Anolis sagrei: one gene and its partners. The protein of the gene in region 3 interacts with the protein of the main gene of each other region in a biochemical or structural test. Links are inferred from orthologs where the notes say so. Each region holds a gene or a part of one and is shown on either strand. Other genes may lie near its edges.

Region 1 (11,165 bases), about 90 Mb from region 3:
CATTCATTTTTGCACCAGTGTTACCCAGAGGTTTGTAACCCATGCCATCCATCTCTTGTGGAGACACATCTTTCCAAATGTAGTTTGGGCTATATTTATCTCTGGCTAGGTTCCAGTAGACTGGAGCCTTCTCCCAGGGCCATGTTTTGGAATATATCTAGACAATTTTAGTTGTTTCCAGGATCTTTGCTGTGCCATCATAGTTTCCTGTTTCAACAGTTTGCAGTGGTGCCCTGTAAATGTGAATAATCTCTCTTGTTCTGCTACCACCAGGCTCAGCAAAGATGGTAAGATTCATGGTCCAGAGTTTCCTCAATTCAGGGTTTTATCACACCAACCTGTTGTCTCACAGCAATAATAAAGCTGAAGCAAACAGGGACAATCACTTTCACACCACCTCTCCAGCAGCACTTTGGCACAGAGTAAAAGCATCACAGCTTCACCCTACTTTGGAGATGTGGATGAGGAGGAAAGCTATATCCACCTGTGCCACATGACTGTCAGTTATCAGGACAGCAGCAGAACAAGACAGTCACACCAGAATCTAAATTGAATAGTTGTGACATTGGACAAGGGTTTGCTTTCTTGGAGCTATAATATGGATTATGTGGGCAGGGTCGTGGGGGCCTCAGTAGCAGTCTCCATAACAATCAATCAAAACTTTATTTGTATCCTGTCCTCTCTCCCAGTGGGGACTCGGGGCAGCTAACAACACAAAATAAGAAACAAAGCAAATGGGCAATATAAACAATCAATCATAAATAATAGCAGTTGATGACTTTGATTCCACTGGGTTGTGAATTAAGTCTGGGTTTCTGCTTGAATTTTAAAGGAGCTAGCTAAGGTAATGAATATATAGGGTAATGTGCAGCGTATGAGCAAATCCTATAGTGTGGGTTAAAAGCTATCCCACTTACATGGAAGCCATCAGTTGTCATTGGGGATTTGGAAACAATGCTATTTGAGTGACATTTCTTTCTCTGCCAGTCCCATGTTTGCTCTCAGCCTTCTCATTTTACTGGGCAAGAGGAAGAATTCCTTCTGAGAGAGGCCCAAACCAACACCATCCATTTCAGTATGCAGCTTTTTTTTTTTTTTGGCATGGAGAAGAATAAAATTACCATTTAAAATTACAATTCTCAACTTTGTCTTTAGTATCCTTCCCTCCAGTGAGCAGTTGGGCTTTATTTCCTGGAGGATGGACTGGTTGGATCTTCTCGCAGTCCAAGGCACTCTCAGAACTTTACTCCAACACCACAGCTCAAAAACATCGATCTTCCTTCGCTCAGCCTTCCCTAAGGTCCAGCTCTCACATCCGTAGGTTACTACAGGGAATACCATGGCTTTGACTAGGCGGATCTTTGTTGCCAATGTGATGTCTCTACTCTTTACTATTTTATCGGGATTGGACATTGCTCTCCTCCCAAGAAGTAAGCGTCTTCTGATTTCCTGGCCACAGTCTGCATCTGCAGTAATCTTTGCACCTAGAAATACAAAGTCTATCACGGCCTCCACATTTTCTCCCTCTATTTTCCAGTTGTTAATCATTCTTGTTGCCATAATCTTGGTTTTTTTTATGTTTAGCTGCAGCCCAGCTTTTGTGCTTTCTTCTTTCACCTTGATTAGAAGGCTCCTCAACTCCATAGTTTTAAATAAGGAGAAGAAAAAAACATTACCACAATTATTTGTAATTACTCTGGACTTTACGGTATCTTGTTTTGTACTAAGTAGTCCAGACTTTGTGACACCACTATGTACAAGAGTGCACATTCCAGAATGTTCCCAGAAACTTTTCTTCATTCTTTCTTCCTACACTTGGCATAGTTGTGCTCTGAGGGAATCCCCCAAGATGGCTAGTTCTCAAATGCTGTCAACGCCCCCTTCCCACTACCTTCCCAGTCAAGGCCCACTTATTTTCCCTTCCCAGTTTGCTCATGATTGCAGTTTCCCAGGAGAGCCTTTGTTGCCTAGAAACAAGCCTGACATCCAAACCTCCCTCTCCCCTCCTCTCTGCCACCATCAGCCTTACTTCAGGGCCGCCCGCACACATCTGCTATACATCCTCAGTAATTTTGTGAAAGTACCAAAGTAACAAGGAGCCAGATGGAATGATACATCGAATAATATTTTCTTTCAAGACAACTGTGAACACGAAGGGATGGAGGGAAGGCCAGTACTTTGGGTGCTCATTTCTGTGGACCATCCTAGCCACACAATCCAAGCCACACAATCTTATTCATGAAGAGAGGAAGCATATGGTAGGCCCAGAAGGTTAGACAGAGATTGTTGCATTTCTGGGCTGATGGATCTGTGATGAACGGGCAGGCAGAAAGTGCCCAGAGTCCTAATATACCCATGATTTTGATTCTTGATACCTTGAGTCCCTTGAAAAGTAAAGAAAAGATAGTTTCTAGCCTTGGCTCCCCAGATGCTATCAGACCTCAACTCTCAAAACTCCCAGCCAACATGGCCAATGGCAAAGGATTCTGAGAGGTGTAGTCAAGACTGCAGATGAGTTCCATTTCAAAAATGAGAGGTTTGCTTTCAGTAGCAGGAGCCTTGCATCTCATCTCATTTCAAATACTTTTCTACAAGCTATAGCAGGCACATAACAGGCAGGCAGCCTGGAGTCTTTTCTCATTCTTCTGCCTTGCCTCTTACATTTCTAAAAGATCTTCTTTCTCCTCCTCCTCCTCTTCTTCTTCCAGTTTTAGAACATCTAAATTTAAATGAGGTTTCTGCAGGGGAACCAAGTGTCCTGGAATTTTAGCTCAAGATCGGGCACCACAGTTTTTCATGATCATGTCAAACTGAAAAAGGAAAAGCAGGAGAACTAAAGATTTCAGAAAATGGAAATCTCCATAACCTTTTGGAAAATGAATATTCATAACCATTTGGAAAAACCAGGAATCTTTTAGAAAGGCATGACCTTGTTAGAGATCATAACCTTTTTGTAAAGTATGATCTTCCTGAGAAGAGTTAAAAATGCACTTGAGTCAACCTTCCCCTTACTGGTAAATATCACTAGCATTCATGCAAAGCAATTAGGTTTCTCAGATGTTAGACTGATATATCTAGATATCTCTTTGAACTGTTAGGAACAAAGATATGCCAATGCATATATCAGAGTTTCAAAAGTATTATTTCAGCTGCCTAAACAAACATCAACTGTCTCTTAAAACATCCTGGTTTAAATCATGCTTCAAGATGCCAAAAATAAAGTAGTCTTTGTTAAAACAGCATAGTTGGTTTACTCACAAACTTCAAGTATTCAGCATATAAGTACATTGCTTATCAATCCAGTTACAGATAGGATTTGAAGTAATTTCTCTGTGCAGATAACACAGGGGATTGTTCTTGTAATCTTAACAGCTCATAGTCTAAAGCCGTGGTTCTCAATCTGTGGGTCCCCAGATGTTTTTGGCCTTCAACTTCCAGAAATCCTAACATCTGTAAACTGGCTGGGATTTCTGGGAGTTGAAGGCCAAAACATCTGGGGACTTACAGGTTGAGAACCATTGGAGCATCTCTCTAGTCTGAAAGTCTAATAGTGTGTATGCAGTCAGTTTCTACAGTCTTCCAAAAGCATATTGTTTCTACTGGCATCTGGAAATTATACAGTTAGTAAAATGGAGTTTCAGATGAACAGTCCCAGTTCTATGTTGCAGCCCTCCTACAACATAGAACTGAGGATAACTGCAAACCAATACACACATATACAATACGGTAAGCAATCTGAATTATATACTAAACAAATAACTGGTATAGGAGGCTTGTAGAAGGTTTCCCTTTCCAACAAAAGAGGAAGAGGGTCACTGTTATTTCTGCTTCCCTTCTTTATGGTCCACCTGAACTCAAGATTTACTGAGACACACATCCTGCTTCCCTGCTTTGTCAACATGGTTGTGCTATCTTTGATTTTCTTCAAGGGATTGGGCCACAGTGGTTCTTTGATGGGATATATTTCAGGATGGGGAGAGAGAAGGGAGATTCATCCTATATTGATTCCTTTACATAAAAACAAAAGTGTTTCAAGATGAAAAAATATAGTTTGTAGGAGTCATATGCATGTAGTTATTTTTCTATTAAATAGAAAAATAACTATATTTAACTTGTCCTCATGGACAACAAGTTAAACATGAGCCACCAATGTGATGCAGCAGCAAAAAAAGCCAATGGGATTTTGGCCTGCATCAATAGGAGTCTAGTGTCTAGATCCAGGTTTGAAGATGAGCAAAGTAAATAAGCTTGCCTATCTTCCAACGGACCTCATAACCTCCTAACCTCCGAGGATGCCGGTTATCAGGCCTGTAGCGGGTGTGTGTGTGTGTGTGTGTGTGTGTTAGGGGTTCAACCCCCCCCCCCCAAATTTTCAGGTTAAAAAAAACCTAGTTCACTCATGAATTTTAACTGGTTAACCAAATCCCCATGCTAAATCTATGAGATGCAAAAATTAAGAGTCCCTCCAGAACTGCAAGCACTTTCTCAAGCAAATATTGACAATTTGTTCACACTGTCATTACATGCAGCAATAGCCGATGCAGTGAAGCAACCAAGTTTGGGGGGGGGGGGGTTTGAATGCTTTCATTAAGGAGGCCAGACTTGGTGGAGGTGGTTTACAGGGGCGGAGCTGCAGGCTATTGAAGGCTGCTCTGCCCCCTGCTGTGCTCTTTGCTTAAGCGTGAGCTAGGAGGCAGGTTTCAACGCCCCCCCCCAGGCATTTAGCTGGGGGGGGGGCTTGAGGGGCTTCAGCCACCCCCCCCCCCGAAATTCTCATGGTGGTTCGCGAAAAGGCCTTACTGGTGCATTATTTAAACTGTTACGTTTATTCATATCACCATACTCAATATATCCCATATATCCAGAATCATAGAATCATAGAGTTGGATGAGGCCTCATAGAATCATAGAGTTGGATGAGGCCAAGCAGCAGGAGGAGAGAAACTGTAGGCAGGTAGGGTATTGGGGTAATGATACAAAAGGTTTGCTAGGGTAGACCCTCTTTCACTCAGACTCAGCCCCCCCCCCCGTAACCCCCCCTGAAAAAAACTCAGCCCCCCCCCCCCCCCGAATTGAAATCCTGGCTACAGGCCTGACCTCCCCTCGAAATTTTCACACACACACCCCCCCCCCCTCGAAATTTTCAACCCCTCCCTCGAAATTTTCAACCCTCCCCAAAAAACATTTCTGGCTACAGCCCTGCCTGTTATAGATGTGGGCAAAACGTCAGGAGAGGATGCTTCTGAAAGATGGCCATACATCCAGGAAAACTAACAGTAACGCAGTGATTCCAGCCATGAAAGCGTTCGACAACACAAAGTAAATAAGGCTGGTGGTTGTGGGCTGAATCTATGGCACCTCTGCATTTCTCTAAAGATATAATCAGCTCTTTGGCAACCCTGCATTATGTGCCAACGTAGATTACAAGGCAAAAAAGTAAAACCTCTCAACAACAACAAACAACCCCACATTTTAATTATTGGGGAGTCCTCATTGTCTTGTTTGACAAGCCCCCCGAGAAATGTGGCTTCTTCGGAGTAAGGAAAAGCATCCTTAAAAATAGAAAGAGCCACGTCAACAGGCCATATATGGAGTCTGCTGGAGTCTTCAGAGGAATACCCTTTTCGGACCACTGCTCTAGCGAAAACAAATCCCTACCGCAGTGCTGCTCCCGCCCCCAGCTGAAGGAAACCAAAACTTCTCATCATAACAAATACTTTTTCCCCCTTTCAAAACACCCTTCCAAACTCTGGCTTGCACGGAAGATCACACCCCCTTTCTTGGGTCCTTTAACTGCTTTTTTTTTTTACCGGATCCCTTCCTCTCTGTTTTCTTTTCTGTATAGGAGGGGGAGGGAAATGCCCGGGATTGCGGTATATTGTGCAGCAGCAGTAACAGCAGCAGCAGCATCAGCTTCTGATGAGTCAAGCTCCCCCAGACGCCTCCCTGGCGCTCCGGCTCTTCCCCCCTCCCTTCCCTTCTCCTCGTGCGCGCGCGCGCCCTCCTTTCCCTCCCCTCCTCCCCCTCCCATCCGCCCCTCAATAGATGTCTATTAAAAGCTGCTGACGTTGGGAGCGACGGCCATCTTTGATGAGGGCACAGCTCCCGTTTCATTGAAGAAGGAGACTCGGAGAGGTCAGGAGCGGCTCTTCTCCTTCTCCTTCCCCGGTTGCCAGCCAAGCCAGGCTTTGCGAGGAAGCAACGCTCCCGGAGGCCAGGTAAGGAGGGAAGGAAGCACTCCCTGGCGCCTGCCTTCTTTTCTTTCCATTGCTTTGCGGGGGAGAAAGGAGAGTATGAATCTCTTCAACCCTGATGTTTATTTCTGATTAGAGGGGGGGGGGGGGGGGGGGGGGGGGGAGGAGAAACCCTCATTAGGCCGAGAAGGGAAGGAGGAGCAGTACGAAGATGGAGAGAGAGAAAAACACTCATTTGTTTACTGTTTAGTCTGAGAAGGAGGAGCAGAAATATCTCCAATCATAATGAAAGAGAAGATGAAGGGGAGAGAAATATTAATGCCTGCCCTAGATGCAGGCAAAACGTCAGGAGAGAATGCTCCTGGAACATGACCATACAGTCCGGAAAACTCTGTGATCTGTGGTCATTCCACAGATATATAAACCCATTTTCCTACTTCCAACAGACCTCACTACCTCTGAGGATGCTTGCCATAGATGCAGGCGAAACGTCAGGAGAGAATGCTCCTGGAACATGACCATACAGTCCGGAAAACTCTGTGGTCTGTGGTCATTCCACAAATATATAAACCCATTTTCCTACTTCCAACAGCCCTCACTACCTCTGAGGATGCTTGCCATAGATGCAGGCGAAACGTCAGGAGAAAATGCCTCTAGAACATGGCCATATAGCCCGGAAAAACCTACAACAACCCAGTGATTCCGGCCATGAAAGCCTTCGACAATACATTGAACAACCTTATAATTCCGGATATGAAAGCCTTCGACAATATTCATGTATTCTTAACTTATTAATGCTCTTCTCCCAGCATTCCTGAACAGGGAAAGCAAAGGGTTTGTTTTTGTTTTGCTGGCCTCTCTCTCGCTTTCATTTCCTCTCTCGTTTTGGCGCATAGCTCTGTTTTGGCTGCCTCGTAATATGGTGGCAAAAGTTGGAAGGATGTGTGTGGGGGATATAATACCAGAGATATAGCGCGGATTTTGTTGCATAGAGCGGCCGAGGGTCTTCCGCCGCAGCTCCACTTTCAGGACCATGGACAGCAGCAGCCGCCTCCGTCGCAGGAATCCATCAGGGGCTGCGCGCGCAGCTCCCAGCTCTGATGCCGCAGCAGCAACAGCAACACAAGGGGGCTTGGGTCCAGCACCTCGGACAGCTCCCTGCCTGCATTAAGGATAAGGAGCTCAGAAGAAAACCCCGCAGACACTGCAGAGGGCTTTGGATTCAGCACCTCGGACAGCTCACCTGCCTGTATTAAGTATACAGCGTTTCCGGCTCAGAGGAAAACCCCGCACACAGTATAGAGCTTGGGTTCAGCACCTCGGACAGCTCCCCTGTCTGCATTCAGGAAGGAGCAAGGGTTTCTGGCTCTGAGACATTGTAGAGAAGGAAGGCCAATCTCTTGCCTCGATGCCTGGGGGCTACGCATAATAACAATTAATAATAATAATTAATAATGATATAAATAGTAACAACTAGTGAGAAACATCAAGCTAAATCTAAGGCTTAGCCTCCACCGCATAGACCTACTGGACCAAATCAAGCCCGCACAAGGACTGCAAAACGTTACTCATCCAATGAGTCTATTTATATTCCAGTCATTTATTACTCATTCAATGTGGCATTTAGTCAGTCATGGCTCCTTCCAAGAGGTCTGCTCTACTTGGGGAGGACAACAGTGGGATTTAGTCCCGTATTTCCAAATTCCGGGTGCGATCAAGACTGTTTACATGCCTCACATGCTTCACCCCCTTCCTTGGCCTCTTCAAAAATTCACCTCCGCATCCATCGCCATTTAGGGAAGCTGGAAAGCTCTCCCAACCGTGCCGTTGCAGTCCTGTCGCAAAACCTTCAGTTGTTGCTGAATATGAATATCTCTTTCCCTCAATCAATACTATGGACCCTTGTTTATCTAGGAAGAGATTCTTCCAATACGCAGAGGAATAACAAGCATCGTGGGGACTCTAAATAGAGAGCAGGCTGCAGGGTTCCTATTCCGCTTCCTAGTGGTTTTGAACCCTTTCTCCTCTTGCCACGGCCAGAGGGAGGGCGGCTTCATTCATGTTTCCTGCCTACTACGACATCATGTCGAGAGGCCATTCTGAAACTGGATTATGGGCAAGAGTCTTTGGGGAAGAGTAGGGAGGGGGGGGATGGAGAGAAGGAAGGAGAGGAGATGGGTGCTGGAGATGGGCTTCAAAACTCTCCCGCCCACCTCCCCAACCCACCTTTCTCTATCAGAGGGGAGGGAAGCCGAACGAGGAGGAGGAGGAAGAGGAGGACCCTGATGCTGCAGAGCTCCCTCAACCGGGTGCGTGCTATCTTATGTAACGGATTGGCAGCGGGGGGGCTCCGGCAGCATTCCTCTCTCATACACACAATCTTGCTTCAGAAAGGCAGGACATGTCTATTTTGTAAAAAATAAATAAATAGGGATAGGGAGATAAAGGTTTCCCCTTGACTGAAGGTATCTATCTATCTATCTATCTATCTATCTAAAAAGGTAAACCCCCCCTTGACTGAAGATATACTATATATCTATTTATTTATCTAGTATACCTTCAGCTCCAAGACGCACTTTCCCCCTATATCTCTAAAAATGGGGTGTATCTTGGGTATTTTTTGTGGGTGGTGCTGGTACTGAAATTGTAAGACGCCATCGATTGTAAAACGCACTCCAATTCATAAATACAGTACACACATATACATAAATATACATAGTTATACGGTATATATACTTATTATATATATACACACACAAATATGCTTATTTATATATTCATACGTACATACATATATATATATAGAGAGAGAGAGAGAGACTTATTTATATATGCATACTTATTTATATATACATATGTATACATACTTTATATATACATACATATAGAATCATAGAATCAAAGAGTTGGAAGAGACCTCATGGGCCATCCAGTCCAACCCCCTGCCAAGAAGCAATATATAATATACGTATATATACAAACTTGTACACACACATATAAACATATATATATACATACTTACTTATCTATACATATGTATACATACTTTATATATACATACATACATATATATGTATATATACAAACTTATACACACACACCTATATATATATATATACACATACATACTTATTTATCTATACATATATAGGTACATCCTTATTTATATATGCATATATACTTATATATACATATATAGATGCATCTGTATTTATATATTTACATATACACAGACATATACAGGCCCGTAGCCAGGATTTCGATTCGGGGAGGGGGGGGCTGAGTTTATTTCGCCCTCTGGGAATAGCTGCATCAAGCCCTTTCCCGACGGTTTAGATTCTGTTCTTGGATTGGTAGCATTTCTCTTTTCCAAAGTCATCTTTATTCTGAAGCAGCACCAAACGTCACCTCCAAGGCAGTCCCGTAGCCAGGATTTTGATTGGGGGGGGGGGGGGGGAGGGGGCTCAGTCTGAGTGAAAGAGGGTCTACCCTAGCAAACCTTTTGTATCGTTACCCCAATACCCCCATGCATATGGAATATATTGAATATAGTAATCAGATCATGATATGAATAAACATATCAGTTTAAATAATGCACCAGTAAGGTCTTTTTGTGAACCACCATGAGAATTTCGGGGGGGGGGGGGGGCTGAAGCCCCTCAAGCCCCCCCCCCCCCAACCTGGCTACATGCCCCTGGATATATATATATATACACATACATACATATACATATACACACATGCATGCATACATAGCTTTTTAAAAATATATTGTATCATATATAGAAACATACAATCTTCAAAATAAACAGTCAAAATACCAGTATTTTCCCCAATTCCACCACCACCAAATCCCCATCCCCCCAGGAACGTTAATTACTCTTGCTATACGTATTACATGCATACATAGCGTCATTATCTAATATCTATTTACATAATGACGCCAAGAATCAGGGCATCCATTAAAGCCCCATTTAGTTTGGTTGAGTCAAAAGGAAAGATGCCAGAGTATCGGGGATTTTAGCTCTTTCCATCTTTCTCTCTCTCTCTGCAAGAGGAAGTGGTGTTGGTGTTGGGGGGGGGGGGGGGGTATTTCCAAAACAAACATGCCATGGCGGCTCTCTGGGAACCAAGGCGCCAAGAGAGATGGATGTTTCCATCTAGCGCCTCCGCCTGTTCTGATTTTGGAAGGCTGATCGATTGGAGGGAGGGGGGGGGGGAGACTGAGAACCCCTCCCTGGAGGCGCCAGAGTCTCCCTAGATCTAGATGTACGTCAAACACGCCCCCTTGCGACCCGCCCCCCTTGATCAGCTTCTCTTCTCGGTCACGTTTCTCCAGCCGCTCTTGGCGTCCATCTGCGGCATTCAAGGCGGGGCGGGAGGAGGAAGAGGAAGCACGTTCTTCGGACGGAGGTCCTCCTCACTAACACCCTTCCCTCTCCCCAATTCTCAATGGCGCACCTTTGGGCGCTGTAGAAGGAATGGTAGCAATGCTAGGGAATCTTCAAAGAGTTGTGGTTTTACAAGATCACCCCAGATTCCATAGCACGGAGCCATCTTTCTTTCCTCCGCACGGTTTGGCTCCTCTGCGCTCGAGCCGGGCTTGTGATTCAAACCTGCGACAGCGGCCCGGCCCCACGTGACCAGCGCAGCACGCGCCTTCGAAGAAGAAGCAGCCCAACATAGCCTCTCGCTCTCTTTTCTCGCTCTCCCCCCTCCGCTTTGGAATGGTTTGGCCCGCCCCCAGGCAAAGCGGGGAGGGAGAGGCCACGCGGGAGAGGCGCGCGGGGGAGGAGGACGCCCCTCCAAGCTTCATTCCTGGCGTTCTTGGGGTGCCTCGTGACTCCAAAAGAAATTAGGGGGGGGGGAGGAAAATTGAAACATAGTGGGTTTGGGAAATGTATGGCAACTCAATGAGAATCTCTCTGCGGGGCCAAAGCGGGATTCCACAAGGGCTCCTCCGCCTGCCAGA
Region 2 (11,343 bases), about 52 Mb from region 3:
CAAAAATAAGATCAATCGTAAGTGAAAATGTAAAACTGTGTTATACTAAGCTTGTCTTAATTTGCTTTTAATTATTATATTTCAACATTAAGATCAAGTCTATACAGAATAGATGGTATGATATAGTATGAGGTATAGCATTAGTTAGGACAATGTTTAATAGTAACCCCCAAGCAACCAAAATTTACATTTATTGGCATCTACCAATTCCCATGGGTGCCAGTTAACTGAAAGTCTACTGTATTTTAGAAATCTGAATAAGGCGTGTGTAACCTGGTCATTTTATTTCACATATTGTATGCCTTGGAGAAAAAGTTTGCTGAAACTCATTGCCCTGCTCTTTTGTTTTGTTGTGTAGGAACCTTGCTCTATTCTTTCCATATTACAATACTTCTGCCTCTGGTCCTAGTTTCTGTTGAAGATGTAATTCCTAGGAACTCATCAGCTTCATTAACTGTGGTATGTCTGTAATGCAAAACAGCCAAAACATTGAGCTGTATGTGAAACTTCCTCTGCTCACTAGATGGTGAAAGATAACAGTTCCTTTTTTTAAAAAAAAACCAAAAAAACAGGGTGTCGCAAAAGTCTCTGTACATAGGAAAAGTGAACAAACTCATATTTTCAGATATACAACATGTAGAGAATATTTTTGCAAAATTTTGTAAGGAATGTTTTGTAAATAAACGTAATTTAACTAAAATGTCCCTATTAATGGTGACTTTGGGGACACCCAGTAGAAAGAACGGTGGCTTTACTAAAAATTAAACCATGCTATTGCTCTAACACTGCAAAATTATAGCAGTTTACCATAATGGTTTAATACGATAAAATTCTGTTATCTGTAGTGGTACGAAAGCTCACTAACAGAGGCCCCACCTATGCCGTCATATAGCGTAGTTTGAAACTGCATGATACGGTCTGTGTGTAGACTCATATAAATGAACTGTATATGCTGACATATAATGCAGTATCAAACTGCATTACAGACAGTCCTCAAGTTATGAACAAGATAGGTTCTGTAGATTTTCTGTCCCTGTGATGATTGGATTTTGAAAAACTTGACTTATTGCAGAAACAAGGATTGGTGATAAACTTCAGCTGAGACACCTTTTTCCCAGGATAACTCTTCCAGGAGTGATTTCCCCTTTCAAGGGGTAGATTTCTCTCACTTCCTGTGATCTTAAATATGAGTCGTTTGTAAGTCGGATGTTTGTAACTCAGGGCTGCCAGCATAGATGGGGCCGGAGAAGGGCAAATACCTCATAAAACTATCCTTATTATGATTATATTGTTATCTGTTGTTTTTATTAATGTTATATTGTTATATAGTGTTATTTTCCTCTCAGCATTTCAGGTTCATGGCTTGAGTCTCCCTCCATAGATGTTCCTTTGTTAGCCTTATTATGATTATAATGTTATATGTTATTATTACTAATGTTATAATGTAACCCATCACATATGAGGATGGCGGGGACAAGGGAGATGGACTTCACAACAGTGCCCCCCCCCCCCCCCCGAAGCTCTGGAACATCCTTCCCAGCGAGATTAGACAATCCCATCCTTACATTTACGTGGGATTTTAAGACATGGCTGTGTAAACAGGCTTTTGGCAATGTAGTAAACACTTTTAATGTGAACAAGGGTTTTTTTAAATATGGATATACCTCGAGTTGGGTAGTAGCGCCCTTCTAACTCATAGAAATGACTGTGTTTTTAACTAATGTTTTATTATTTTTATTGTTAATTTTGTTTACTTGTGTTTTGGCTTATCTTGTTTGTTTTTTATATTGATTTGATGTATTATTTGTGTACTTTATTGTATTTATTCATGTTGTGAGCCATTCCGAGTCCCTCAGGAACATGAGGCGGCGTACAAAAGTTTGTTATTATTATTAGAACAATAATCCAATAGCATACAGCCTTGGCTGACATGTTATGCCAGAGGTCCTCAAACTTTTTAAACAGAGGGCCAGGTCACAGTCCCTCAAACTGTTGGAGGGCCGGATTATAATTTGAATAAAAACATGAATGAATTCCTATGCACAGTGCACATATCTTATTTGTCATGCAAAAAACACTTAAAACAAAATAATAATTAAGATGTAGAACAATTTTAACAAACATAAACTTATTAGTATTTCAATGGGTTGTGCGGGCCTGCTTTTGGCTGCAGGGATAAGATTTTTGTTGTTGTGTGCTTTCAAGTCATTTCAGACTTAGGCTGACCCTGAGTGAGGGCTGAGTAAATGACCTTGGAGGGTCTTATCTGGCCCCTGGGCCTTAGTTTGAAGACCCCTGTGTTACGCTATATGTTACATTATACTACCTTGTGCTTTTAATGTGTTGTATATTAATTAGTATAATTCTTCATGCTTTAGGTTCATTGAGTTAATTCTTGTTTGATTGTTATAAGCTATATTGAGTTTAATGTATTGTCGAAGGATTTCATGGCCGGAATCACTGGGTTGTTGTAGGTTTTTTCGGGCTATATGAGGTTCTAGAGGCATTCTCTCCTGATGTTTCGCCTGCATCTATGGCAAGCATCTTCAGAAGTAGGTAGAAACTACCTCTGAGGATGCTTGCCATAGATCAGTGGTTCTCAACCTGTGGGTCCCCAGATGTTTTAGCCTTCAACACCCAGAAATCCTAACAGGTGGTAAACTGGCTGGGATTTCTGGGAGCTGTAAGCCAAAACACCTGGGGACCCACAGGTTGAGAACCACTGCCATAGATGCAGGGGAAATGTCAGGAGAGAATGCCTCTAGAACATAGCTACATAGCCCGAAAAAACATACAACAACCTATATTGAGTTTATTTCACTCTATGTTTTATTTTGATTGTCTAAAATGACAAACGCTCAATGCCAAAACCAAATAGACCAGGTGTTCTCAATCTGTGGGTTCCTAGGTGTTTTGGCCTACAATTTCCAGAAATCCAAGCCATTTTACCAGCTGTTGAAGGGCAAAACATCTGGGAACCCAAAGGTTGAGAACCACTGGTCTATTTGGTTTTGGCATTGAACGTTTGCCATTTTGTTATTCCTGTAAACTGCCCTGAGTCCCTTTGAGGAGAGGGGGGTTATAAATTAAGTTTATTATTATTATTGACAATTAAAGTGCACTTGAATTTTGTATTATTTTCTTTTGATATTTTATTGTATTTTATTTGATGTATGATTGTATGTTTGTATTCTTTTTGCTTTGTTGTAATCGTTGGGCTTGGCCTCATGTTAGCCGCCCTGAGTCCCCTTGGGGAGATGGTGGCGGGGTATAAACAAAGTTATTATTAGGTTCTTGTGGGTTTTTTCGGGCTATAGGGTCATGTTCTAGAAGCATTTCTCCTGACGTTTCGCCTGCATCAGGAGAAATGCCTCTAGAACATGGCCCTGTAGCCTGAAAAAACCCAGAAGAACCTAAAGTTATTATTATTATTATTATTGAAGGGGATAACCCTGCCAGGATTTAAAAAAAACACACAGAACAAAAATGAGGACCAGGGGTAGCTCAACCCATTACGCTAAGTAAGCATTTGCAGTATAGTTGATTTTGCCCAGGGGCACTCTTGAGGTGCTCTTGGGGGAAAATAGACCTTAACATATGTGAGTTGTAGTTACTGGGATGTATGGTTCACCTACAATCAAAGAGCATTCTGAACTCCACCAATGATGGAATTGAACCAAATATGGCACACAGAACTCCCATGACGAACAGAAAATATATATCAGTGATTGGTTTGGGGGGGGGGGGAGGCAAAATACTAAGTTCTTGTGGGTTTTTTCGGGCTATATGGCCATGTTCTAGAGGCATTTCTCCTGACGTCAGGAGAAATGCCTCTAGAACATGGCCATATAGCCCGAAAAAACCCACAAGAACTTAGTGATTCCAGCCATGAAAGCCTTCGACAATACAGGCAAAATAGTTTGCTTACCATTGAAAATTACTTAGGTCAACCTCTGATGAGGACACACACATGCACACACTCTGGCACACTCAAACTGTGGTCCTCCAGCTGTTTGGGCCTCCAACTCCCAGAGGCTTTAAGGAATTCTGGGAGTTGGAGGCCCAAACAGCTGGAGGACAACAATCTGATAGTGATGCCTGCTTCAGAGAGACCCAACCAGACCACAGGAAGCCGGGCCTAGTCCTACATGGGAAACACTTCTGAAACTAGGCAGCCAAAATCCAAGCCAGGGCTTCAGAGGAGGCACTTTGGGGGAGCTTCTCCCACGTTGCCCCCATTGCCTTCCTCCCCTTCTTCTTCTTCTTCTTCTTCTTCTTCCCACAGGGCTCTTCCTCCTCGCCCTGAGTTCCTCCTCCTCAACGTGTCGCCTTGGCTTCCTATTCCTCTCAAGACAAGAAGAAGCCCCAGTAATCTTTCCCACGCTCCTTCTTTCTTTCTTCATCTCTACAGAAACTCACCACAGGCCGTCTTTGCCCTCTCTGCCTTCCTCTCTCTCCAGCCTCAGGTCTTCCTTCGTCGCTGGGCAAGCCTTGTCTCCTCCGGAAAGCCCCTCTCGCCCGCCTTTCCTCCTTCGGCTCAAGCCAGCCAAGCCCCACCCGGCCTGCCTTCTCTCCTTCCTTCCTCCTCCGCCAAGCCCTCGCCTCCCCGCCTCCTTCGCGTTGAGTTTCGCAGCGCATTGGTCGCTCGCTCGGCCAGAGCTGTTATAGGTGAAACTTCATGGCCGTCCAGGCCTGGCCCCGCCCCTCGCTTCACCACCTTTGCATCCCCGCCCACCTTTCCTGTTTGTCTAAAATGTTGTCATTCAGAGGGCAGGCGGAGGAGAGCTCTCTCAACCTCCTGGCACTGGAGGCCCTGCCACATTATCTGAGTGTGGACTCAGATAACCCAGTTCAAAGCAGATATTGTGGGATGTTCTGCCTTGATATTCTGGGAGATAGGGCTGTGTGGAAGGGCCCAGAGACATATACACCTAAAGGACCTTCCACACAGCCTTATAACCCAGAATATTAAAGCAGAAAATCCCACAATATCGGCTTTGAACTGGGTTATTTGAGTCCACACTGTCATATATTCCAGTTCAAAGCAGAAAATGTGGGGTTTTATTCAGCTGTGTGGAGGAGTGGGGGCTAAGGCTGGATCTATGCTGCCAAATACGGCCTTTTGAACAGTAATATATGGTCAATGTAGAGCCATATGCAGTTTGAACTGCGTTAAATGGGTCTTCACTAAGTATATAATGCTGGTCCATATAATGCAGTTTGAACTGCTTTAAATGGGTCCTGCGCATGGGCAAACGTCAGCCCTCCATGTGCTTTGGACTTCAACTCTCACAATTCCTAATACCTTAGGTCCAGGCCTGTAGCGAGGGGGTGGTTTTAGGGGTTCAACCTCTCTCCCCCCCGAAATGTTTCAGATTTTTTTTTAAACCTGGTTTACTCATGAATTTTAACTGGTTAACCAAATCCCCATGCTTAGTCTATGAGATGCAAAAAATTAAGAGTCCCTCCAGAACTGCAAGCACTATCTTTAGAATGCGTATCAGTGCAGGAGATGAAGAAATTTGTCAATATTGCTTTGTTACGGCAAGACTAATAATAGCCAAAACTTGGAAAAGGGAAAAAGAGAACCAGCCTGGACACAGCATATTATTTGAGAACACAGAAATGCTGGACCACACCAACAAACCACCATGTCATACTACACAGAGAAGCCATTGAAATCCACAAGCATGTGGACAATTTCAACAGAAAGGAAGAGACCATGAAAATGAACAAAATCTGGCTACCAGTATTTAAAAAACTCTAAAATTACAACAGCAAAACAGCAGAGAGGAAACAACCAGGCACATCTTAACACCTCTCAACAAAAGATTTTCCCAGGCTCAGGCAGGCCTTCAAATGCTAATTAAGGTGGTCAGTTGAAACATTCACACCTAGCTCCAGCAGAGAAGAGCTCTTTGCCCCACCCCAGCCATTCCACAGATATATAAACCCATTGTCCTAATTCCAACAGACCTCACTACCTCTGCGGATGCTTGTCATAGATGCAGGCGAAACGTCAGGAGAAATGCCTCTAGAACATGGCCCTATAGCCTGAAAAAACCCACAAGAACCTGGAAAAAGAGTTATCTATTAAAGATTGGAGATATAAGTTAGCAGATTATATCCAAATGGCCAAGCTGACAAATAGCAGCTGCGGAGGAAATAATGAAGAATTTGCAAATAAATGGAGGCTGGCACTTGGGTATTTGGAAAAGAAGACAAAGGTAAACTTGAAAATTGCCATAAAGGGATTCAGTGAAAAAAGATATTTGGGTAGTTGTTGTTTAGTAATGCGATCCTGTTTTGAGGAGTTTCGGAGGTCAGGGGGTGGGGTTCACGGGTGGGGGATAGAGGGTTATGTAATATTAAGGTATAAATAATTGTACAACCAAATCTGATTGTATATATGTTTAATGAATATTGACTCTTTTGTAAATCTTTTGCATATGTTTTCTTTGTTCCTTTTTTCCTTTTGTTCATTTGTTTTGTTTTCTACATACACTATGAAACAATAAAAATATTTTTTTAAAGTTATTATGATTTTTCTTTTTACATGTATATTGTCATTTTATTGTTGCCATTAGTATGTTGTAAACTGCCTTGAGTCTCCCCCAGGGGAGAGAAACACGGTATATAAATATCGTAAATAAATAAATAAATAAATAAATAAGGGAATTAAAATCCTGACCTTTAGAATTGTAATCCAGTGCTCAACTCGCTGGGATGGGAAATGCATTTTTGGGAGTCCCCCCAAAAGGAACCAAAGATGCATTTCCAAAAATTAAAGAAAAAGAAAGATGATGATTGTGCAAAATTCGTGTTATTGCAAACTACATTGTATCCTGTTAGTTTAAAACATTTACATACCTTTGTTTCTAATCAAAATGAATGAATTTTGGCTGTAGAGCATTTTGGAAACCATTCCACAACTCTTTGGAGACCTGAAGTAAACAACAACAACAACCTGGAAACAACTTGTTGAATCAGTCTGCTTTAGTTTATTACATAGGAAAGCTGTGTAATTAAATACAGTCCAGGGCTTTATCAGTGGTATTTAACTATGGCATTTGTACAAATTGATGGGTGCACATGCTTGTAGCATTTTTACACACACCTTCCTCTGTGCTGTGTTGTTGTAGTGTGCCATCAAGTCATTATCTTATCACAGGACTTCCTTGGCAATATTTGTTCAGAGGAACGTTACCATTTTCCCTATAGGACTGAGTGGTTTTCCTCTTTAGCATCCACAGATAGTTCAGACATATGTTTGCTTAGCAACAGGTCCTAACAATACAGTTGATTCTGTGTGCATTCAAGTCATTTCCAACTAGTGATATTGTGGGATTTCCTTGGGCAAGATTTGTTGAGAGGGTGTTTACCATTTCCTTCCCCTTCAGGCTGAGTGTGAGTTGCTAAGCAAGTTTACATCCTGGGAGTCCTATTCCAATGCACTAACCACACTGATAGTTTCTATTGTCTGCCAACATATGGTGACCCCATGGATTTAATAGTTTTGTTAAGCCCCTTCCACACAGCTGAATAAAATCCCACATTTTCTGCTTTGAACTGGAATATATGGCAGCGTGGACTCGGATAACCCAGTTCAAAGTAGATATTGTGGATGATCTGCCTTGATATTCTGGGTTATATGGCTGTGTAGAAGAACCCAGACAGAATTGGATGCTTTTAGGGTATTTAAGACCTCCTTACAACAAGACTATCCTAAATATTCCGTTAGGTGTATCTACACTGTAGAATTAATGCAGCTCGACCACTTTGGCCCCTTCTACATATCTGTATACTCTGGGATTTGATCCCAGATTATCTGATTTAAACTGGATTATATGAGTCTCCACTGCCAGATAATCTGGGATCAGATCCTGGGATATAGGGCAGTGTAGAAGGGCCCTTTAACTGCTGTGTTTCCATGCTGTGGAGTCATAGGATTTAATTTGGTGAGGTACCAGAGAAGATGGGTTGCTGTGAGTTTTTTGGGCTGTATGGCAATGTTCCAGAAACATTCTCTCCTGACGTTTCACCAACATCTATGACAGGCATCCTTAGAGGTTGACAGGTATGTTGGAAACTACATACCTATATAAAGTGGGGTTTATATATCTCTGGCATGTCCAGGGTGGGAGACAGAACACTTGTCTGCTTGAGGCAAGTGTGAATGTTGCAACTGGCCACCTTGATTAGCATTGAATGGCCTTGCAGCTTCAAAGCCTGACTGATTGCTACCAGTACCAGAGAAGAGTTTGTGAAATGACAACATTCAGAACTCTATAGTATGAAGGGTGCATCTACAGTGTAGAATTAATGCAGTTTGACACTACTTTAACTGCAATGGCCCAAGGCTCTGGGATAATTTCAGCCACAACGTTGTCCAAAACTACAATTCCCGAAATGCACCGGGATCATTCCTTCTCGCCGCGGCCTGCTTCTCTGAGGCAGAAAACTACCCTTCCCAGCATGCAAAGGGCGGCGGCTGTTGTGGCCCTCTGATTGGCTGTATCCGTGGAGGCGCTTCCTGTATTCTGGCGCGGGGCTTCTTTGGGTGGCCGGGGAGCCAGTGGTGGTGGCGGTGCCGGTGGAGGGCCCGGGGGGTGGCCCTTGCCGCTGGGCGATGGCTGTCTGCTGGGTGGATGCGGCCTGTAAGTACTCTGCCGGTGGTCCTTCAAAAGGGTTAAGGATGGAGCTCACCTGTGGGGCTGCAGGTCCCCAATTCCTCAGTTGGGGGGGGGGGGGATGTTCCTTGAATAGGGCTCCTGCAAAGCAAATCCCTCCAGGGACGGAGTTAGAACTACCACCTTCAGTCTTTGTCAAAGGCAGCCAAGCACTTCCTGAGCGGTTGTTTGTTTTTGTGACAACTTTTAGTGAGGGGAGTGTCGAGGTAAACAAACAAACATAAAAAATGGCAGTATTCAAAAACTGTAAACAATCAAAAACTGGAGAGTGGGAATACATCGTAAGTATATTTTCTTTCCTCTCTCAACTCTTTCACAACTTCTGTACAGGACACAGGCAGGAGTGAGTTATACTTTGAAGTAACTGAAAAAGAAGTATTTTTATTTATTTATTTACTATATTTATATACCGTCCCTCTCAGCCCGCAGGCGACTCGGGGCAGTGTACAGTTAATACCAATACAATTTCAATACCACAAAAATAGTTTTCTTAGATCTACAGAGACACTTGCTGGAACACCTCAGCAAGCGAGAGTTCAAAAGTGGCAGGCTCAAACCCAGCACCTCAATCCGTGGGTGATACCAGATGAGAGACTCCCCCCTGGGCACACAGAAGACTGGGGGACTTGGAAGGCGCTGAACGGACTGCGCTCTGGCACCATGAGATGCAGAGCCAATCTTAAGAAATGGGTCTACAAAGTTGAATCCACGATATGCGAGTGTGGAGAAGAGCAAACCACTGACCACCTGCTGCAATGCAACCTGAGCCCTGCCACATGCACGATGTGGCAACACCAGAGGCACTCCAAGTGGCCAGATACTGGTCAAAGGATATTTAATCAGCTACCAAGTTTGCAAAATTTGTGGGTTTTTTTAATCTGTTTGTTTGTTTTGTTTTGTTAGAAATGTAATACAATGTTCTGGTTGCAGATGACACGATAAATATAAAACCACAAAAACAATCAGAGAAATTTTTTTTGTCGTGTCAGAAGCGACTTGACAAACTGCAAGTCGCTTCTGGTGTGAGAGAATTGGCCGTCTGCAACGACGTTGCCCAGGGGAAGCCCGGATGTTTTTGATGTTTTATCATACTTGTGGGAGGCTTCTCTCATGTCCCCGCATGAGGAGCTGGAGCTGATAGAGGGAGCTCATCTGCGCTCTCCCTGGATTCGAACCTGCGACCTGTCAGTCTTCAGGCCTGCCGGCACAGGGGTTTAACCCACTGCACCACTGGGGGCTCCCAATCAGAGGTTATAAAACCATAACAAAGTCAATTAAAAACACATATTCATTAGAGTCTCCTTGTTAAAACATTGTCCAATCACATTGTCAACCATTCCATTTTCCTATGTTCGTTACACCCCTTGTTAGATTGCCCACTAAAAGAGAGATCAAGAATTCTCCCAGATGAAGAAGGCAGTACAGTATAAACATATGATTCCTAAAAGCAAATGAAAACAGCAGCCCTCAGTATAACTTAGTTCTACTGTTTTGAGATTTATAATTGTAAACTACAAACATAGAACAATTATATTAGAAACAAAATAAACATTACTATAACAATAGGATGCTTGTGTGTAAAATTATGCAATTCCATTCAGATTTCATTTTTTTAAAGCATACTCATTAGTTTCCTAAATAGTTTCTTATAATGAATACGCTTTTGAATTGAGAGGGATTATAGATATTTTCTCAAAAAGTTGTATAATAAAACATTATATTGAAACTTTTCCTGGTTAAATATATTCTACTGAACTTTTATTCATCGTATGATGACGATGATGATGATAATGATAGAAACCCCTTTATTTCTAGACCACCGCCTCTCCCCGAAGGGACTCAGGGCGCTTTACACACAAAAAAGGCAAACATTCAATGCCTCAAATAAGTACCAACAGATCAAAAATAAATTCAGAGTACTGCACAATAACAACAGTACATTTATAATAAAAGAACTAAGCATTGAAATGAAAAACAAAATATAAACAATTCAGTAGGACATAGTGAACTACAACTACAATGTTTAATGAGTAAACATTAAGGCACATGCCGTGAACAACAATTAAAATGCATTATATTAAAGATGGCTAGCATAGAAGTTAATTTAAAATGTATCATAGCTGCCATATAATACAGTGGGTTAGCCCATTCCAGTGAATTAAAGTTTCCTATACTTCCCCCTCCATATGCCAAAGTGCATAAGTGTGTCTTCAAAAGTTTCTCAAAGGAGAGGTGGGGGCCATTTTTATTTCTTTAGGGAGGAAGTTCTAGAGACAGGGAGCGATCATGGAGAAACCCCCTCTTGTTCTCACCAACCAAGCTTGTGATGGGGGTGGGACCAAGAGGAGGGCCTCCTCCGTTGACTGCAATGCACGGGATGGTCTGTATTGGGAGACACAATTAGACAAATAGCCTGGACCTGAACCATATAGGACTTTATAGCTAACGACCAGCATTTTGTATTTAGCTAAATAGATATAGATATATATCTATTTATCAGAAATAGATATATAGAGTCTTTAAACAGCATGCACAATACCGTATAATATCTGGTTGAGGAAACAATTAGTAGGTTAGTCTCATCCAAAGTAGTGTATACTGTGATGCTATATCAGCACAGTATGATGAGAGGACAGCTCCCATGACTGGCAAC
Region 3 (10,609 bases):
CTATAAAGCCCTAAACGGTTCCGGCCCAAGATACCTTTACGACCGCATCTCAACCTACGAGCCCACCAGGACTTTGAGATCGTCCAGGGAGGCCCTGCTCTCGATCCCGCCTGCCTCACAGGCACGCCTGGTGGGGACGAGAGATAGGGCCTTCTTGGTGGTGGCTCCTCGGCTGTGGAACACCCTTCCCGTGGACATCAGACAGGCTCCGTCCCTGTTAATATTCCGCAGGAAATTAAAGACCTGGCTGTTCAAGAAGGCGTTCGAACAAGAAGTGCAATAATTGGTAATGACGACAGGAATGGAACAACGGAAAATGATACTGGATTGTGGTTTAGACGATGAGACGACGTGGAATGGCTTTTGTATTATTGATGATGTTTTTGATGACGATGTTTTTGGTTAATGCTAGATTGATTATTTTAGATTGTGTCTTGAATTTGAACCTGTTTCTATGTTGTACACCGCTGTGAGTCGCCCTCGGGCTGAGAACAGCGGTATATAAGCAAAGTAAATAAAATAAATAAATAAATAAATAAATAATTAGATTGGCCCCATTCTTCCTGGTCTTCAGGTAAAAAGCTAAAGACCTGGCTTTGTGCTCAAGCATTCAAAGAATAGGGTAACGTGGAATTTGACTTTAACCTTGCAGTCCAGATAATGACCATGGAAAACTGGATGTTTGGAAATAATGACTCAGAACTTTTTATGTTTTTTAACTATTTTACTGTGTTTTATAGGTTTTAACTGTTTATATGTTTTAATTGTTTTATAATTTAATGTGCTATGTTTTTGTTATGTGCAAAATGAGGCACTGAATTTTTGCCGTAGTTTGTAAAGCCGCACTGAATCCCCTTCAAGGTGAGAAGAGAGGGGTATAAATAAAGTAACACAAGTTATTTACACTGAGAAAAAGAAAAGAGCTAGACGTAGGAGTGTGAAACAGGTCATCACCTTGAAGTCAGCAAATATGAAAGAAGTAGCATGCCTAGGCCTTTGCCAAGTCTGGCACATGCTGAACTACTAACACTCTCTGGCAATAAAAACTGTGAGAAGCTGTGTTTATGCCATCTGCATATCACGTCACACCATGATGATGCACTCAATAAAGATGTACTTCAGGAGACGCATAAGCAAACTTGTCTTACAGGCCAGACACTTGTGTTTTTCCTCCTTTTAAAAATGACGGATTTCAGCTGAAAACTAAGGGCCCTTCCACACAGCCATATAACCCAGACTATCAAGGCAGAAAATCCCACAATATCAGCTTTGAACTGGGTTATCTGAGGACTCTTCCACACAGCTGAATAAAAGCCCACAATTTCTGCTTTGAACTGGAATATATGGCAGTGTGGACTCAGATAACCTAGTACAAAGAAGATATTCTGGGATATAGGGCTGTGTGGAAGGGCCCCCAGAATATCAAGGAAGAAAATCCCACAATATCTGCTTTGAACTGGTTTATCTTAGTCCACACTCAGATAATGTGGGATTTTCTGCCTTGACATTCTGGGATATAGGGTTGTGTGAAAGGGCCCTGAGTCCACAATGCCATAAATCGCTGTTCAAAGCAGATGTGGGATTTTATTTAGCTTTGTGGAAGGGGCCCAAGAAGCACTAAAGAGTTGATTTCAAGGTACATCTACACTGTAGAATTAATGCAGTTTGACACCACTTTAACTGCCAAGGCTCAATACTATGGAATTCTGGTCGTTCTACTTTAGATAGGAACTTTGACAGAGAAGGGGCCCTTCCACACAGCCCTATATCCCAGAATATCAAGGCAGAAAATCCCACAATATCTGCTTTGAACTGGAACAACCTCCACACAGCTGAATAAAATGCCACATTGTCTGCTTTGAACTGGAATATATGGCAGTGTGGACTCAGATTACCCAGTTCAAAGCAGATATTGTGGGATTTCTTGGCTTGATATTCTGGGTTATATGACAGTGCGGAAGGGCCCTGGGTCATCCGAGGGCCCTTCCACACAGCCCTATACCCCAGAATATAAGGCAGAAAATCCCACATTATCTGAGTCTGGACTCAGATAACCCAGTTCAAAGCAGGTATTGCGAGATTTTCTGTCTTGATATTCTGGGATATAGGGCTGTGTGGAAGGGCCCCGAGCCTACACTCAGATATTCACTCAATGATTCCTTAGCATTGAATTGTGTCATCTAAAAGTGGTGTGAAGCTGCATTAATTTCACAGTGTAGCTACATCTTCAGAAGTGAGTCGCCTAAGGGCTATGAAGGTCGGTATACAAATATCTATATAAATAAAAATGTAATGTTCATTTGTGGGATTAACATAGTTCAAAAACCACTGGATGAATTGACACCAAATTCGGACAGAATACACCTATCAGTCCAACGAGTGACCATCACTTATAAAAACACCGAAAAACACAGAAGAGACTTAAAAAACCAAAAAACAAAATTACTTTACAACGCATGTGCAAAACCACATATATACACAAATATATACACACACACACATATACACACAAAACACACATACAGGGCCACAGTAACACGTAGCAGGGGACAGCTAGGTATAAATAAAAAAATGTAATATTCATTTGTGGGATTAGCATAATTCAAAAATCACTGGACGAATTGACACCAAATTTGGACAGAATACATGTATCAGGCCAACAAGTGACCATCACTCATAAAAACACTGAAAAACACACCAGAAGAGACTTAAAAGCAAAAAACAAACAAAAAACATTACAATGAATTCACAAAACCGCACACACACATATATACACAAAAATATGCACCCACACACATGCACACACACAAAACACATATACACAGACTGGGCCACAGCAACGTGTGGCAGGGGACGGCTAGTAGTAAATAAATAAATTTCCTGCCTTGGTATTCTGGGATATAGGGGTGTATGGAAGGGCCCCGAGCTGACACTCAGATAATGTGGGATTTCCTGCCTTGATATTCTGGGATATAGGGCTGTATGAAAGGGCCCTGAGTCCACACTCAGATATTGTGGGATTTCATGCCTTCACATTCTGGGATATAGGACTGTGTGGAAGGGCCCAAGAGTAAAAGCATGCAAAGCTCCAACTCCCATGATTCCTTAGCACTGAATCATGTCAGTTAAAAGTGGTGTGAAGCTGCATTAATTCTACAGTGTAGCTGCACCTTCAGAAGTGACCACAAGCTGAGAGACTGAACATTATGTTCTGAACTGAGGATTGAAGAACAAGGGGAGGGGCAGCTCCAAGTCAACTGAGCCATAAATGTTATGTGAGAGAGGATATGAAACCAGCACTTCAGCCCTGGTTGGGCCTATAATGCTCTTGTGACATCTTATATAGATAATGTCCGCAGGCACATATCTGAGTGCACCAAGGAAGGAAAAAAAAATAAAAGTGACAGGAGGCGGGAAGCCAAAAAGAGGAAGTTGCCAACTCTACTGATCTTGGTGGGGGGAAAAGTGGCGGGAAACAGAGACTCCCTCCTAGCCATCTTCAAATGGTTTTATTATTTTGGTCACAGTGCCACATTGCAAGGTGTGCATGTGGTTCCCTAATGGACATATTCTCAGATCCATTATGGCAGGTGTGGGCCAACTTGGGTCCTGCAGGTGTTTTGGACCCCAACTACTTTTGGACTCCAACTTAAGCGGCGGAGGGGGAAAAGGAAAGGGCCTGAGGCTGTTAGGAATGGTGGGAGTTGGAGTCCAAAACACCTGCAGGACCCAAATTGGCCCATACCTGCATTAGAGCACTACTAAACAGTCCCACCCTCACTTTGCCAGCCACTATTGGCAGGTTTGGAAACTACAGAGCTGTGGAAGCCTATTCCAACCCCCCGCCCCATATTCTATATTATTATTTTCCAAATTTAGGGGTGACTTTTACCTTAAGGACCCAGTCTTTGGATTCCCACCAATAGCCACACTATTCCAAAGTGGGCCCTTTCCCTTTACAGTCCCTATGGTTGGGATTAATACAGCTTGACACCCCAATGCTATGAGGAATCCTGGGAGTTATAGTTTGGTGAGGCGCCCACACTCTTTGGCAGAGAAGGAGAAAGACTCTTAGGGTCCCAGAGTAGAGTTAGGGCAGTTAAAGCGGTGTCAAAGTGCATTAATTCCCCAGTTTAGAAGGAAGGAAAGAAGGGAAAGAGGGAAGTGGATGCAGGGGGCTTGCTCACCGCCTTCAGCTGCTCCAGCCGGTCCTTCATTTTGGACAGGTGTGTGCCTCCTCCTCCTCCTCCTCCTCCTCCTGTTTTTCTGCAGGTGGACCCGGGCGAAACTCCCCTCCAGGAAGTGGCCTCCCGGCCCCGACGGAAGGACGGCTTCCTCCTCCGCTTTCGCCCTCTTTGCCTTGGCTGGGAGGGGAACTCGCTCTGCCTGGCCGCGGCGGAGGGGAGAGACGCCCCCTCCCCACTTGCTCTCTTCTCTTCCTCTTCCTCCTCCTCCTCCTCTTCCTCCTCCCCCTCCTTCCCCGTCTGGGTCTGATCCTCGGGCGCTGAGCTCCCCGCCGCCGCCGCTAATCCATCATGACATACGCAGGGTGGGCGGGGTCAAAGCGGGAGGCCCCGCCCACTTACCTGAGCGCAAGTCGCTCTTAAAGGGGTAGGCCCCTCCCAAGCCAGAGAGAGCCAACCTGTTGCTGGAGGAGAGGACAACCTGTGTTAGGTGTCGCCTGGAGAGGCCCACGTGGGAGTGGGAGCTGCACCGGGGGACCCCCTCAGAGAGGGTGTTGCTAATCTACCTATCTATCTTTTCTATATAAATAAAAATGTAATGTTAGTTTGTGGGATTAACAGAACTCAAAAACCACTGGACGAATTGGCACCAAATTTGGACACAAGGCACCTCTCAGTAGGCCTGTAGCGGGGGGTGGGGGGGGGGGGGGTGGGGGGGTTAGGGGTTCAACCCCCCCCCGAAATGTTTCAGATTTTTTTTAAAAAAAACCCTGGTTTACTCATGAATTTTAACTGGTTAACCAAATCCCCATGCTAAATCTATGAGATGCAAAAAATTAAAGAGTCCCTCCAGAACTGCAAGCACTATCTCAAGCAAATATTGACAATTTATTCACACTGTCATTACTTGCAGCAATAGCCGATGTAGTGAAGCAACCAAGTTGGGTGTGTGTGTGTTGAATATTCTCATTAAGGAGGCCAGACTTGGTGGAGGTGGTTGACAGGGGCGGAGCTGCAGGCTACTGAAGGCTGCTCTGCCCCCTGCTGTGCTCTTTGCTTCAGCGTGAGCTAGGAGGCAGGTTTCAACACACACACACCCTGTAAAATTTTCAACCCCCCCCCCGAAAATTTCAACCCCTCCCGAAATTTTTTTCTGGATACAGCCCTGCCTCTCATGCCAACGAGTGACCATTATCCATAAAAACACTAAAATAAGACAAAGTGGATGAGACTTACAAAGCCAAAAAAATACATTACAGTGCCTGCGCAAAAGCACATATATACACAAACACACAGCCCCTCGGCTGTGGAACTCCCTGCCTAGGGATATTAGATCAGCCCCCTCCCTCCTGACCTTTCGTAAGAGAGTGAAAACCTGGCAGGCATTCAGAACCCCGGAATAGTCAAGCTTGAGATGGAGAATGACCCAGGAACGGCCAAGACGATGAAACGGATGAGGATTGGAATGAGAGGATATAGCTCTTTTTAAATTGTTATTGCACTGTCTTTCTTGTCTAAATGCACTTAATTGTTTTTGCTTTTGTATTGTATTGATGGCATCAAATTGTGCTGATATGTAGACCGCCCTGAGTCGCCTGCGGGCTGATATGGGCGGGATATAAGTGATGTAAATATACACACACACAAATATATAGACACACATATACGCATATATATACACACAAACATATACACAGACTGGGCCACAGCAAAGAGTGGCTAGTATATATATATTCTTTGTTGTTCATTCGTTCAGTCGTCTCCGACTCTTCGTGACCTCATGGACCAGCCTACGCCAGAGCTCCCTGTCGGCCGTTACCACCCCCAGCTCCCTCAAGGTCAGTCCAGTCACTTCAAGGATGCCATCCATCCATCTTGCCCTTGGTCGGCCCCTCTTCCTTTTGCCTTCCACTTTCCCCAGCATAATTGTCTTCTCTAGGCTTTCCTGTCTCCTCATGATGTGGCCGAAGTACTTCAACTTTGTCTCTAGTATCTTTCCCTCCAGTGAGCAGTCGGGCTTTATTTCCTGGAGGATGGACTGGTTGGATCTTCTCGCAGTCCAAGGCACTCTCAGCACTTTCCTCCAACACCACAGCTCAAAAGCATCGATCTTCCTTCGCTCAGCCTTCCCTAAGGTCCAGCTCTCACATCCGTAGGTGACTACAGGGAATACCATGGCTTTGACTAGGCGGATCTTTGTTGCCAGTCTGATGTCTCTACTCTTCACTATTTTATCGAGACTGGACATTGCTCTCCTCCCAAGAAGTAAGCGTCTTCTGATTTCCTGGCTACAGTCTGCATCTGCAGTAATCTTTGCACCTAGAAATACAAAGTCTGTCACGGCCTCCACGGTTTCTCCCTCTATTTTCCAGTTGTCAATCATTCTTGTTGCCATAATCTTGGTTTTTTTGACGTTTAGCTGCAACCCGGCTTTTGCGCTTTCTTCTTTCACCTTGATTAGAAGGCTCCTCAGCTCCTCCTCGCTTTCGGCCATCAGAGTGGTGTCATCTGCATATCTGAGGTTGTTAATGTTTCTTCCAGCAATTTTCACCCCAGCTTTGCATTCATCCAGCCCCGCACATCGCATGATGTGTTCTGCATACATGTTAAAAAGGTTGGGTGAGAGGATGCAGCCTTGCCGTACGCCTTTCCCAATCTTGAACCAGTCTGTTGTTCCGTGGTCAGTTCTGACTGTTGCTTCTTGGTTCTTGTACAGATTCCTCAGGAGAGAGACAAGGTGGCTTGGGATGCCCATCCCACCAAGAACTTGCCACAATTTATTATGATCCACACAGTCAAAGGCTTTAGAATAATCAATGAAGCAGAAGTAGATGTTTTTCTGAAACTCCCTGCCTTTCTCCATTGTTGTTGTTCATTCGTTCAGTCGTCTCCGACTCTTCGTGACCTCATGGACCAGCCCACGCCAGAGCTCCCTGTCGGCCGTTACCACCCCCAGCTCTCTCAAGGTCAGTCCAGTCACTTCAAGGATGCCATCCATCCATCTTGCCCTTGGTCGGCCCCTCTTCCTTTTGCCTTCCACTTTCCCCAGCATCATTGTCTTCTCTAGGCTTTCCTGTCTCATGATGTGGCCAAAGTACTTCAACTTTGTCTCTAGTATCTTTCCCTCCAGTGAGCAGTCGGGCTTTATTTCCTGGAGGATGGACTGGTTGGATCTTCTCGCAGTCCAAGGCACTCTCAGAACTTTCCTCCAGCACCACAGTTCAAAAGCATCGATCTTCCTTCGCTCAGCCTTCCCTAAGGTCCAGCTCTCACATCCGTAGGTGACTACAGGGAATACCATGGCTTTGACTAGGCGGATCTTTGTTGCCAGTCTGATGTCTCTACTCTTTACTATTTTATCGAGATTCTCCATTATCCAGCGGATATTGGCAATCTGGTCTCTCGTTCCTCTGCCTTTTCTAAACCCAGCTTGAACATCTGGCAACTCTCGCTCCATGTATTGATGGAGTCTTCCTTGCAGGATCTTGAGCATTACCTTACTGGCATGAGAAATAAGGGCCACTGTACGGAAGTTTGAGCAGTCTTTCGCATTTCCCTTTTTTGGTATGGGGATATAAGTTGATTTTTTCCAGTCTGATGGCCATTCTTGTGTTTTCCATATTTGTTGGCAAATGGCATGCATCACCTTGACAGCATCATCTTTTAAGATTTTAAACAGTTCAGCTGGGATCCCATCATCTCCTGCTGCCTTGTTGTTAGCAATGCTTCTTAAGGCCCATTCAACCTCACTCCTCAGGATGTCTGGTTCTAATTCATTCACCACACCGTCAAAGCTATCCTCGATATTGTTATCCTTCCTGTACAGATCTTCTGTATAGTCTCGCCACCTTCTCTTGATCTCTTCAGCTTCTGTTAGGTCCCTGCCATCTTTGTTTCTTATCATACCAATTTTTGCCTGAAATTTACCTCCAATGTTTCTAATTTTCTGGAAGAGGTCTCTTGTCCTTCCTATTCTGTTGTCTTCTTCCACTTCCATGCATTGCTTGTTTAAAAATAGTTCCTTATCTCTTCTGGCTAACCTCTGGAATTGCGCATTTAACTGGGCATATCTCCCCTTTTCACTGTTTCCTTTTGCTTTCCTCCTTTCTTGGGCTACTTCCAGTGTCTCAGCAGACAACCATTTTGCCTTCTTGGTTTTCTTTTTCTTTGGAACGTACTTTGTTGCCGTCTCCTGAACAATGTCTCGGACTTCTGTCCATAGTTCTTCTGGGACTCTGTTTACTAAATCTAGTCCTTCAAATCTGTTCTTCACTTCCACTGTATATTCGCTAGGAATGTTAGTGAGATCATATCTAACTGGTCTGTGTATTTTCCCTGATCTCTTTAGTTTTATTCTAAATTGGGCAATAAGAAGTTCGTGATCTGAGCTACAGTCAGCCCCAGGTCTTGTTTTCACCGACTGGATGGATGTCCGCCACCTTTGGCTGCAAAGGATGTAGTCAATCTGATTTCGGTGCTGACCATCTGGTGAGGTCCATGTATAAAGCCGTCTTTTAGGTTGTTGGAAGAGAGTGTTTGTTATACACAGCGAGTTTTCCTGGCAGAATTCTATCAGCCTGCGTCCCGCTTCATTTTGTTCTCCCAGACCATGCTTGCCTGTGATCCCAGTTGTCATTTGACTTCCCACCTTGGCATTCCAGTCTCCTGTAATGAAAATAATGTCTCTTTTTGGTGTATTATCCAGTAGGTCCTGCAGATCCTCATAGAACTGATCTACTTCTGCTTCTTCAGCAGCTGTGGTTGGGGCGTATATTTGGATCACTGTGATGTTGAAAGGCTTTCCTTGCACTCGAATTGAGATCATTCTGTCATTTTTTGGGTTGTATCCAAGCACCGCTTTAGCGAATTTCTTATTAATTATGAAGGCTACTCCATTTCTTCGATGTTCCTCTTGTCCGCAGTAGTAGATCTGGTGGTCATCTGATGTGAAGTGGCCCATTCCAGTCCATTTCAGTTCGCTGACCCCCAGAATGTCTATCTTTAGTCTTGACATCTCACCAATAACAACATCCAATTTGCCCTGGCTCATAGATCTTACATTCCAGGTTCCTATGGTGTGTTGATCTTTAGAGCATCGGATTCGTCGTTCACCTCCAGTACCGTCGGCCGCTAGCCTTCCTTTCGGCTTTGAGCTAGCTGCATCATCACATCTGGGGCTAGTTGAACTTATCCTCTGCTCCTCCCCAGTAGCATTTTGGCCATCTTCCGACCTGGGAGTCCCATCTTCCAATGGCATACCGACATATCTCTGGTTGTACTGGTCCATTTAGTTTTCTTGGCAAGGATACTGGAGTGGTTTGCCATTGCCTTCCCCAGGGATCACGCTTGGTCTGACCTCTCTGCCACAACCGTCCCGTCTTGGGTGGCCCTTCACGGTTTCGCTCATGACATCATTGAGGTGCTCAAGCTCCAGCGCCCCGACAAGGCGGTGATCCTTTGCTGGAGATATATATTCTTTATAAATAAAAATGGTTTTTTGAGTTCTGTTAATCCCACAAACGAACATTACATTTTTATTTATATAGAATATATATTCTATATAAATAAAAATGTAATGTTCGTTTGTGGGATTAACAGAACTCAAAAACCACTGGACAAATTGACACCAAATTTGGACACAAGACACCTTTCAGGCCAACAAGTGACCATCAGTCATAAAAACACTGAAAAACACAACAGAAGAAACTTAAAAAGCCAAAAAACAAAAAAAATACATTACAACACATGCACAAAACCACACACATATATATGCAAATACAAATATACACACACAAAACACATATACACTGACTGGGCCACAGCAACGCATGGCAGGGGACAGCTAGTCTTCTATATCAATAAAAAGGTAATGTTCGTTTGTGGGATTAACATAACTCAAAAACCACTGGACGAATTGATGCCAAATTTGGACACAATACACCTCTCAGGCCAACGAGTGACCATCACCCAATATAATGTTCGTGGACAGAAAAAGAGATTTAAAGATGGGCTTATAACCAACCTTAAAAAATGTGGCATAGACACCGAGAACTGGGAAGCCATAACCCTTGAGCACTCTAACTGGAGGTTAGCTGTGACCAGCAGTGCTGCAGAATTCGAAGAGGCACAAATGGAGAGCAAAAGGGAGAAACATGTTAAGAGGGAGGCGCATCAAGCCAACCCTGACCGGGACCACCTTCCATTGGGAAACCAATGTCCTCATGCAGGAGAACATGCAGATCAAGAAAAGGGCTCCACAGCCACCTACAGACCCACCAACAAGACGCCACATCAGAAGGACCATCATCCTCAAGCTACAAGGGATTGTCTAAGTAAATAAGTAAGAGGGGGTGACATCCCAGAGCGTGGGCAAACTTTCCAACATGCTAGTAGCACTCCCTGCTAGGACTGGCCACATGGTGATA

The links.
Region 1: the proteins of STX3 (region 3) and SNAP25 form a complex in vitro, tested with the Homo sapiens proteins (2 studies listed by BioGRID). The link is inferred for Anolis sagrei from reciprocal best matches to the Homo sapiens genes STX3 and SNAP25.
Region 2: the proteins of STX3 (region 3) and SNAP23 form a complex in vitro, tested with the Homo sapiens proteins (3 studies listed by BioGRID). The link is inferred for Anolis sagrei from reciprocal best matches to the Homo sapiens genes STX3 and SNAP23.

What each region holds. Positions count from the first base shown.
Region 1 is NC_090021.1:145,057,960-145,069,124, reverse strand, and holds the start of SNAP25 (synaptosomal-associated protein 25), read left to right. Parts: upstream 1-6,063; 5' UTR 6,064-6,217; intron 6,218-11,165.
Region 2 is NC_090021.1:286,949,712-286,961,054, forward strand, and holds the start of SNAP23 (synaptosomal-associated protein 23), read right to left. Parts: upstream 4,673-11,343; 5' UTR 4,420-4,672; intron 1-4,419. UniProt on the Homo sapiens protein: Essential component of the high affinity receptor for the general membrane fusion machinery and an important regulator of transport vesicle docking and fusion.
Region 3 is NC_090021.1:234,866,900-234,877,508, reverse strand, and holds the start of STX3 (syntaxin-3), read right to left. Parts: upstream 4,549-10,609; 5' UTR 4,218-4,548; coding exon 4,188-4,217; intron 1-4,187. UniProt on the Homo sapiens protein: Potentially involved in docking of synaptic vesicles at presynaptic active zones. Apical receptor involved in membrane fusion of apical vesicles.